Linked DNA regions of Canis lupus familiaris. Each later gene encodes a partner of the first gene's protein in a complex. Links are inferred from orthologs where the notes say so. Each region holds a gene or a part of one and is shown on either strand. Other genes may lie near its edges. The genes, in order: STX12 and VTI1A.

Region 1 (4,260 bases):
AGAAATAAATGCTCTTATAAATGCCAAAAAGAAAATAGAAATAGCTTTTTAAATAAAATCTTTAAGGCTGAATGCAGGCTCATTCACTCATTTCGGGTCTCCTCCCAAACAGGCAAACAGCTTCCTCTCTTGCCATTCCCCAGAGATTGCAAAGTAGGCTGGGGTGGGGTTGGGTGGAGAACACATGAAACAAACACTGCCAGTTTCCCCTTCATTTCTTCCTATCTTGATCCCTTCCCAAACCCAAATCCTACCCACGTCTGTCCCTTTATGATAAGTTCACAAAATGCAGTCTTCTGTGGGAACATTGAGGTCATATGCTCAAAATTAGGGAATGATTTTTCTCCCATCCTCAAGGGAATGTTTTTTAAAATTTGAGAATCTAGTTCTCTAAAAAAAAAAAAAACCTGGTTTGGGATATACAGTAAATGAAGAGGCTGTTTGGGAAGGATTTAGATGGAGAATGAATTTGGGAATATGAGAATGCGTTTTAGGGAAGTAGCAAGATGAAGACGTAGTTAGCTTAGTGTTTGGGTTTTGCAGTCAAATCTCAGAAAAGCAAATTAACCCCTCTGGCCTTAGTTTTCTCCGTTTTGTAAAGGGGTAAATAACTCTTGACGAGTTACTTTGCTTCAACATTAAAAAAAAAATCGATTTTCCATTATCTATTCTGAACGTAAAGATAGTTAGAACATTGTCCCTTGTCTATGAACAAGTGAATTGCGGTGAAGATTGATACATAGCATGTGCTCAATAACTATTATTATCATCGCTTTATTGTTTGGATTAGAAGAGGGGTGGAGGGAGTAATGAAAGCGACCTGTACACCTTAGAGGTGCTCCGCAATTACTACCAAAGCCCTACAGGATGGAAGTAGAGTGGGGAATTTCAGGAGTTCGGTTACCGCTCTGAGTTACAGGGGTGTGGAATTCTCCCATATATGGGCCCGACTTCTCAGTATAGAACAGAATAGGATGCTAGGGCTGAGGTCATCTGGTACAGTATTATGCTAATCAAGAATCCTCGCCTCCCGTCGCCGTGCTCTCGGCGAGAAACAACACGGTCACACCGGCTCCTCCAATCCGAGCCCTAACCGCGTGACGTCATCGCCCCGCCCCATTTCCCCAAGGCCCAGGCGGCCAGTCTCTAAGCGCCTCTCCGCGGCACCAGTTCCAGCGGCGCCTGCGCACGCGCGGCGGGGCGGGGCGGACGCGTGCGCGCGGCGTGGGGGCGGAGCCAGTGCGCACGCATCCCGAGCCCCTTCCCCCGCCCTTTCTCTTCTCGGTTTCCCCGTCAGGCTGCGGGTTCAGTCTGGCGGCTGCTTCCGGTAGGAGCGCGGTGCCGGGAGAGTCGGTCTCAGTTCCTCGTCATGTCCTACGGTCCCTTAGACATGTATCGGAACCCGGGGTCCTCTGGGCCCCAGCTCCGGGACTTCAACAGCATCATACAGACGTGCAGTGGCAACATCCAGCGGATCAGCCAAGCCAGTGAGCTGGGGGACGGGGCTGGGGGGCGGGGGCCGTCCCGGGGCCGGGCCTGGGTGAGGTTGCCGGGATGCGGAGCCCGGCCGAGGCTACGGGCTACGGCCAAAGCCACACCTGAGGCAGTCTCGGGCTCTCCACTGCGGGGGCGGCAGCTGTCATCCTTGAGTGTGTCAGGCCCAGGCTCCCCGAGGGTCCCCAGCCCCAGCTGAAGCTTGAATTTCTTCTCAGGTGTCCTGCCCTCATGATATTGGGGCCGAAGCAGCAGTCCTGACAGCCCTGGGGTGGGAGGGGTGTGTGTGTCATCTCGGGAGTAGTGAGTGAGTTGACTTGGCGCAGTGGTCAGCCGAGTTTTTCCTGTCATTTGCCTTACCCCCACCCACCGCCCTTTCCTCTTTGGCCAGCTTGGATCAGGAGTTGTTTACTGATCTAGACTTTAAGTTTACATTCTGCTCAGCTTTTTGCTCCTTGGAAATCAGCTTTCAGTTAAGGGAAGTGGGGAGTGCATGTATTTGGGTGACTTAATACCCAGCTCTTCCTCTAATGAATTTGGAAATCAGATATAATGACTTGTGTTTGAGGAGTGAAATGACTTATGTTTTAATAAAGAGAATTCACCGAAAACATTCCCCTTGACATGGTTTTGTCTTTTGTAGCAAAGATTTGCACATTTATTTGGATTTCAAGCTGACGAAGCTTCTGCATTCCTTCCCTATTTAGCTGCTTTTTTGAACAAATCTCATACACAGAGAAGCTCAGGATCACAATCACACAGGAAGTAAGACATGGTAGAGTTAGTGGTGGATTTCAGAATGTCGTTGCTTGTCTTAAAACTACTCCCCCACCCCCATCATTGGGTCTGAGTAAGACTGAGCTGATTGAGACAAATACAGGCAGGTTCTTGTGCCTGAAGATCATTGCAGAGAGCCCTATAATCAGGTTAGTGGCACAACTTTACTTGGAAAGAATGGTGATCAGCATCCTTTATTATTGTGTTTTTGTGAGCTTGGCTCTACTCTGTTGATAGAACTCAGTTGGTCCTAAATTATAATTATGTTCTATATATAAAGAGGGGGAAAGTTTCTGATGGAAAGAGTGTGAGACCAGGTGAATTGGAAGTGGAAGGAAAAATATGTGGCCTGTTAGGATAGAAATTTAAAAACATTAATATGACCACTGATTTGAAAGTGTAGTACTTTGTGTTCCAATGTCTCCTTTTGTGAGGGAGCTGTAGTACCAGTTAGGTCAGGAAGATTCTGGTTCAAGGCTGAAAGTTTATTGTTGAGGCTAAATCTAACCTTAATGTCTGTTTGAGAAATTTTCATTCTACAAATGTTTGTTTGACTATTAGATATACTCATATTGAGTATAGGAACTGTCATAGCCTGGATTCTTTCAACAGGGAGCCTATGGAGTACGTAACAACTGAAGTATAAAGTTGAAAGGGTTCAGTACTGAAGAATAGGTATAACAACATTGAGTAGGTATTCAGGGGGAAAAGATACCAATTTCACTTGGGAGGGATCTGGGAAACCCATTGTGGCATTTGAGCAAGTCTGGAAAGTAGTAGAAAGGATTTGAACTTTTAACAGTGAGGAAGGGAAGAGGAGGGAATAAAATGAACAAGGCGTGGTAGTGGGAAAGCATGGGGTGTATATAGAAAAGTAGAGTGATTTAATTTGGCTAGAAGGGATTCTAGAAAGTTGTGGAAAATTGCGTTGGAAAGGTAAGTTGAGGGCAGCCCAGGTGGCTCAGCGGTTTAGCGCTGCCTTTGGCCCAGGGTGTGATCCTGGAGACTCGGGATCAGGTCCCACGTCGGGCTCCCTGCATGAAGCCTGCTTCTCCCTCTGCCTGTGTCTCTGCCTCTCTCTTTCTCTCTGTGTCTCTCATTAATAAATAAAATATTAGGAAAAAAAAAAGGAAAGGTAAGTTGGGGCCCAAACATGAAGGGCTTTAAGCGCTAAACTAAAGGGGGGTGGATTTAGTCTTTTTTTTTTTTTTTTTTTTTTTGAGTATTTATTTGTGAGAGAGAAAATGAGTGGAGATGAGGGTGGGAGGAAGGGACAGAAGGAAGAGCAGACTCTCCACTGAGCAGGGCGCCTGACCCAGGGACCTTGAGACATGAACTGAGCCAAAGGCAGCTACTTAACCAGCTAAGCCACCCAGGAGTCCCTTGGATTTAGTTCTTTAGGAATGTATAAATTGAATTGGAAGGGAAAAACTGGAATTAGAGACACCAGTCAGGAACTGTGAAAATGAAAAGGAAGGAAAGGATAGGCTTCTGTGGTGACAGAATTGATAAGATTTAGCTGTTGGTTGGGTATTGGGCTCAAGGGATTATTGGAGTCAACCATTAATAACACTAATAGCTAACATTTGAGTACATTCTGTGTGCCAGGCAATTTGAAAAGTGCTTCATATGCATTATCTTACTTAATTTTTTAACAACTCCGTTTAAGTAATTACCAATATTATTTCTTTTTATGGGTTAGGAAACAGATTGATAAAGTTTAAATAATTACTGAGCAAACAAATGACAATTTCTGAATTTGAAACCAGATCTGTCTCTTATGACCAATAATTAGCCTTTTTATACTTTTTAATTAATATTATATTTGTAGCAGTTAGCACTTTTAAAAAAATATTTTATTTATTTATTCATGAGAGAGAGAGGCAGAGACCTAGGCAGAGGGAGAAGCAGGCTCCATTCAGGGAGCCCGATGTGGGACTCGATCCGGGATCCCGGGATCACACCATAAGCCAAAGGCAGATGCTCAAC
Region 2 (3,815 bases), on another chromosome or scaffold:
TTTGAATCTGCCAACCTGAAAGCCATGCAGAGCCCGAACAAACTATTTTTCCTAAATGCTACATCTGATTAAGCCATACCATTAAATGACAGCTGAACTTTAACATTAATATGATATTATTTAAATAACAGCATGATTTTTTTTTACACTAAAAATGATGAATGATTTCTGGACAGCTCAATTGACATAAAGCAGAAGGACTCTTTAATGAGATTTGACAAAATGGAGACATATGCAGAATATTCGTTACAGCTCACATCGCAGGGGCCCTCCCAGGGAAGCAATAGAGGACTTTTTTCCTTTTTTTCCCTTTTTTATTGTCTATAAGCACTGAAGCATTCCTTTCAATTGCCACTTCTGTGTGGATTTTGAGTGTTTCTAGATCATTTACATATTACTCTTAGGCAGAGAATTTGGTGTCTTATGGTTCTGAATTGGCACTGTGCCTGTAGGAAAAGCAGGGGCATGTGGAGTTAGGTCAGTGTTAGTTGGAGGTGTCGCAGGAACTCCAGGCTCGCTACTGATCAGCCTGATAGAGACCAAGTAACTATCCACTGCTTGTGCCATCCATCGCTAATGCAGCAAAAACACTCCTAATAAATTATTATATACAGATACCTGAGTAGAGATGATTTTCCTTACTCTAAAACAGTTGTCTCTACAGTATTAGTGCTAAAAGATTTCTTCTGTAAAATCCCAATTAAGTTATTCTAGAGGCGATTCTTGACATTCCTCATTCACATTTCCAGCTACAGTCCCAAACTGAAGGTTATGCTAGATGATAATCTTATTTGGTAGATACTGAATGTAAGAAAGTACCATGCTAGATATCCTAAGTAAAAAATGGCTCTGATTTTCAGAACAATGAAAACATTTCTTACTTCCCCCTTGAAAAATACAGAATATAGTGTATTACCCAGGCATTCATTTATTTTCACTTACTTTCCCAAATATCTTCCATCAGTCAAAGGTTAATTAACGCACATAAAACACTGACATTTGTTTGCTCGCACATGTGAATTCAGATTCTTTAGATAATATTTAAATTTTAAAAATCATCTTTAAATATATGTAAAATTGAAATATTTCCCCAAACAGCATCTCTTAAAGAAATAAAATGAAAACAAGGCAACAGAGAGAGAACACAGCTAATACCCGCAGGCCCGCATTCCTTCTATAAGAAGGAGGCTATCGAAATAGAAAATAAAATCGGTCTGTTCCTGCCATGGGGACTTCCTCGGGCTATGAAAAAAGACTTCATGTCTAACCCTAATTTTTTCCATAGCTTGAGGTAACCCCCCTAGCTCAAACCTTCTCTCTAATCTAAGCTACTCAGCATGTGTCTCTGTCCAAACAAGAGTTAATATCAGTGCTCTGTTATTTCAAAAGGGTCTTGACCCAGGGTACTAAGAGCAGAGGCTTGCATGCCTGGAATATGGCCAGTTGCAACTAGATGAAAACCGTCGTTTCAAAAAAGGGAGAGAGAGGAAGATAGGTCCCTACCTTACTCTTACCTTCGCAACATCCCTGTCAGAACCCTGGAGCTTTTCCCCAAGTTAGCATCTGTTTCCCGAAGCTAGGAGGAGAAAAGGAATGTTAAAACAAAACTTCGTGCAGTTGGATCATTTTGCAAATGCACTGGCAAGCAGTAATTGTTTTTCATGGATGGAAATCCAATTAATAATAGATACTTAAATACATTAAAATACATCATGACACCTACACAATCTCTGAAAATTCTTAGATTTAAGAAATTACATGTAATAGATGATCCCAGGAGCATTAAACTGGATACTTGAACCGGCGATAAAAGCATGTCTCTTAGGCGGACAATGCTGAATATACATCTCGTAATTAAAATCCAATTTTGAATGCGTGAAGTCCTAGATATATGAACGGAAATGAAGTAAACTGAGGGAGGATGAGACATCACTATCTTTACAGCTTTCATTCTGTAAGACTTGACATACTCCAAAGTCTGACCTTCTCAGTTATAGAGCTAAATAAAATATCTACCTGGGGGCATTTAAGGATGGGGAAAGAGTCAGCTTCTTTCTCCATTCCACTCTTTTTCTTCTCCCCTTACTCGACATCCCTCAACTACCCTTGCCATTTTTATACACACTTACATCTATGTCATCACTACTGTCTATGGATGTGTTGGAGGCCTTTTGTTTTATGTCTTATCATTTACCGAATTTATGAAAAGAATTTTGTATCCCTTCTTACTTACTCGTTCACGTGCACGCTGTATCTTTTCTCTGTCATGACTGAGGTTTTCCAACATCTCCTGGCCAATTTGCTCTATTGAAAAGGAAATTTGAGTGAGGAAGGGTGGCTTTTGGTGTAAGTGGAAACAAACTCTAGGGGTACCACGATGGCAGTGGCACAGAGTTCATGTTTAATAAGTGTACATTACATATCGGACACATAGTTCTTATACATAAAAAATATTTTTAAAGTATTTAATAAATTTACCTATATATCTTAGATATGATTACATGGGATTTACAATTCAACCTATAGAACATAACCAACAAGGCAGTGATGATTGAGAGGTGATACGACTTGCCGAAGGCCACCTCAGCATATTTGTTATCTGCCAAGATGCAAGATGAAAAGCCCAGGTCCAATGGTCTTCCAATAATTTTATCATTACATAGGAATCTAGTCTCGGTTTTGCAGGTTACAACTAATGTTAATGATTCTACTCTACCTCCCCCACTTTATTATTGCACTGCTTTGCGTATGTAGGCAAACCTCCAGTTAGAACAATTTTGATTTTAATGTATTCGTCCCATACACAGTCCTCAGAATCTCAACTACTGCAGCTTATTGCTAGTGGAACTCTCTCTAGGCTTTTGCTCTCTTGGAGCAAGGGTTCCGTTAGTGTGTTCTTAGCTGCTGTGGATACTTGAGTCAGGATGAGGTGCACTTCACACATGGCTGAGGAAAGCTCAAGCTGCAAACAGAACTTCCATTTATACAGGAATAGGCAGGTTAGAACATTCATTAAAAAGCACGCTGCTGAGTTCCGATGAGGTTTTCCTCTGCCGTGATCATCCCATTTGGTTGGCACTGGTCGGCTCTCCTTCTTTTACAAGACTCTAGGTATGTCCTAACCTGACAAATATTCAGCTGCCTTGAATTAAATTTTTTTTTTTAGACTCATTCTCCATCACCTGGGAGGTACCTTATTCTATAATAGAAGAATGACAAATCTGACACACTTGTAATACTGGCAACCTATCTGACTACCACGTATCTACATTTTTTTTTTTTTTTTCTTTTTGTATTGTCTCTTTACCTACAACCTATACAACAACTATCTCTGGCTTATAAATTTATTGCAACACTAAACAAGCATCTATTACTATAGCAAATAATTTAATGAAATCATTAGGAAGTCACCATGGTAGTTATTTGGCTCATGGATGTATACCAACAAACTTTTCAGAGGGACATCCTAAAAACTGTGGAGCAGTGGTTAGGCCATATTGAGAGTTTAGATTGGGAACTCACACTGTGTGAGCCTAATCCTCAGTGCTGACGCTTACTGGCTGTGTGACGTTGCATATGTTACCTAGCTTCATTTTGCCTTAGTTCTTTACTTCTAAAATGGAAAGAAGATTATTCTATGTCAAGGGGCTGTGGTAAAGGTTAAATAATTCAGTTAGAATACTTAACACAGTGACTCGCCTATAGCAATAATAAGCATTTGTTGAATGATGATGAATGATATTAAGAACCAATGGACTGTTCCCCCCATCCTAGGGGATTGGGCCCCCTCCCATCCTAGGTCTGCCACAACCCAC

What was found.
Region 2: the proteins of STX12 (region 1) and VTI1A are in contact, whole or in part, in a crystal structure (PDB 2NPS), measured with the Rattus norvegicus proteins. The link is inferred for Canis lupus familiaris from reciprocal best matches to the Homo sapiens genes STX12 and VTI1A. Residues at the interface, in NP_075228.2 of Rattus norvegicus: Glu185, Ile188, Gln189, Leu191, Glu192, Ile195, Leu196, Val198, Asn199, Phe202, Lys203, Leu205, Ala206, Ile209, His210, Gly213, Ile216, Asp217, Glu220, Val223, Glu224, Ser226, Glu227, Val230, Glu231, Ala233, Ser234, Asp235, Leu237, Gln238; in XP_038945999.1 of Rattus norvegicus: Arg131, Arg134, Ser135, Arg138, Leu139, Ala141, Gly142, Ile145, Ala146, Glu148, Thr149, Ile152, Gly153, Met156, Asn159, Leu160, Asp163, Arg166, Arg169, Ala170, Arg173, Leu174, Glu176, Thr177, Asn180, Leu181, Lys183, Ser184, Ile187, Leu188.

What each region holds. Positions count from the first base shown.
Region 1 is NC_049223.1:71,975,213-71,979,472, reverse strand, and holds the start of STX12 (syntaxin-12), read left to right. Parts: upstream 1-1,369; coding exon 1,370-1,487; intron 1,488-4,260. UniProt on the Homo sapiens protein: SNARE promoting fusion of transport vesicles with target membranes. Together with SNARE STX6, promotes movement of vesicles from endosomes to the cell membrane, and may therefore function in the endocytic recycling pathway.
Region 2 is NC_049249.1:23,996,171-23,999,985, reverse strand, and holds part of VTI1A (vesicle transport through interaction with t-SNAREs homolog 1A), read right to left. Parts: intron 2,305-3,815; coding exon 2,234-2,304; intron 1,577-2,233; coding exon 1,515-1,576; coding exon of another isoform or gene 1,511-1,514; exon of another isoform or gene 1,504-1,510; intron 447-1,503; coding exon of another isoform or gene 422-446; exon of another isoform or gene 1-421. UniProt on the Homo sapiens protein: V-SNARE that mediates vesicle transport pathways through interactions with t-SNAREs on the target membrane. These interactions are proposed to mediate aspects of the specificity of vesicle trafficking and to promote fusion of the lipid bilayers.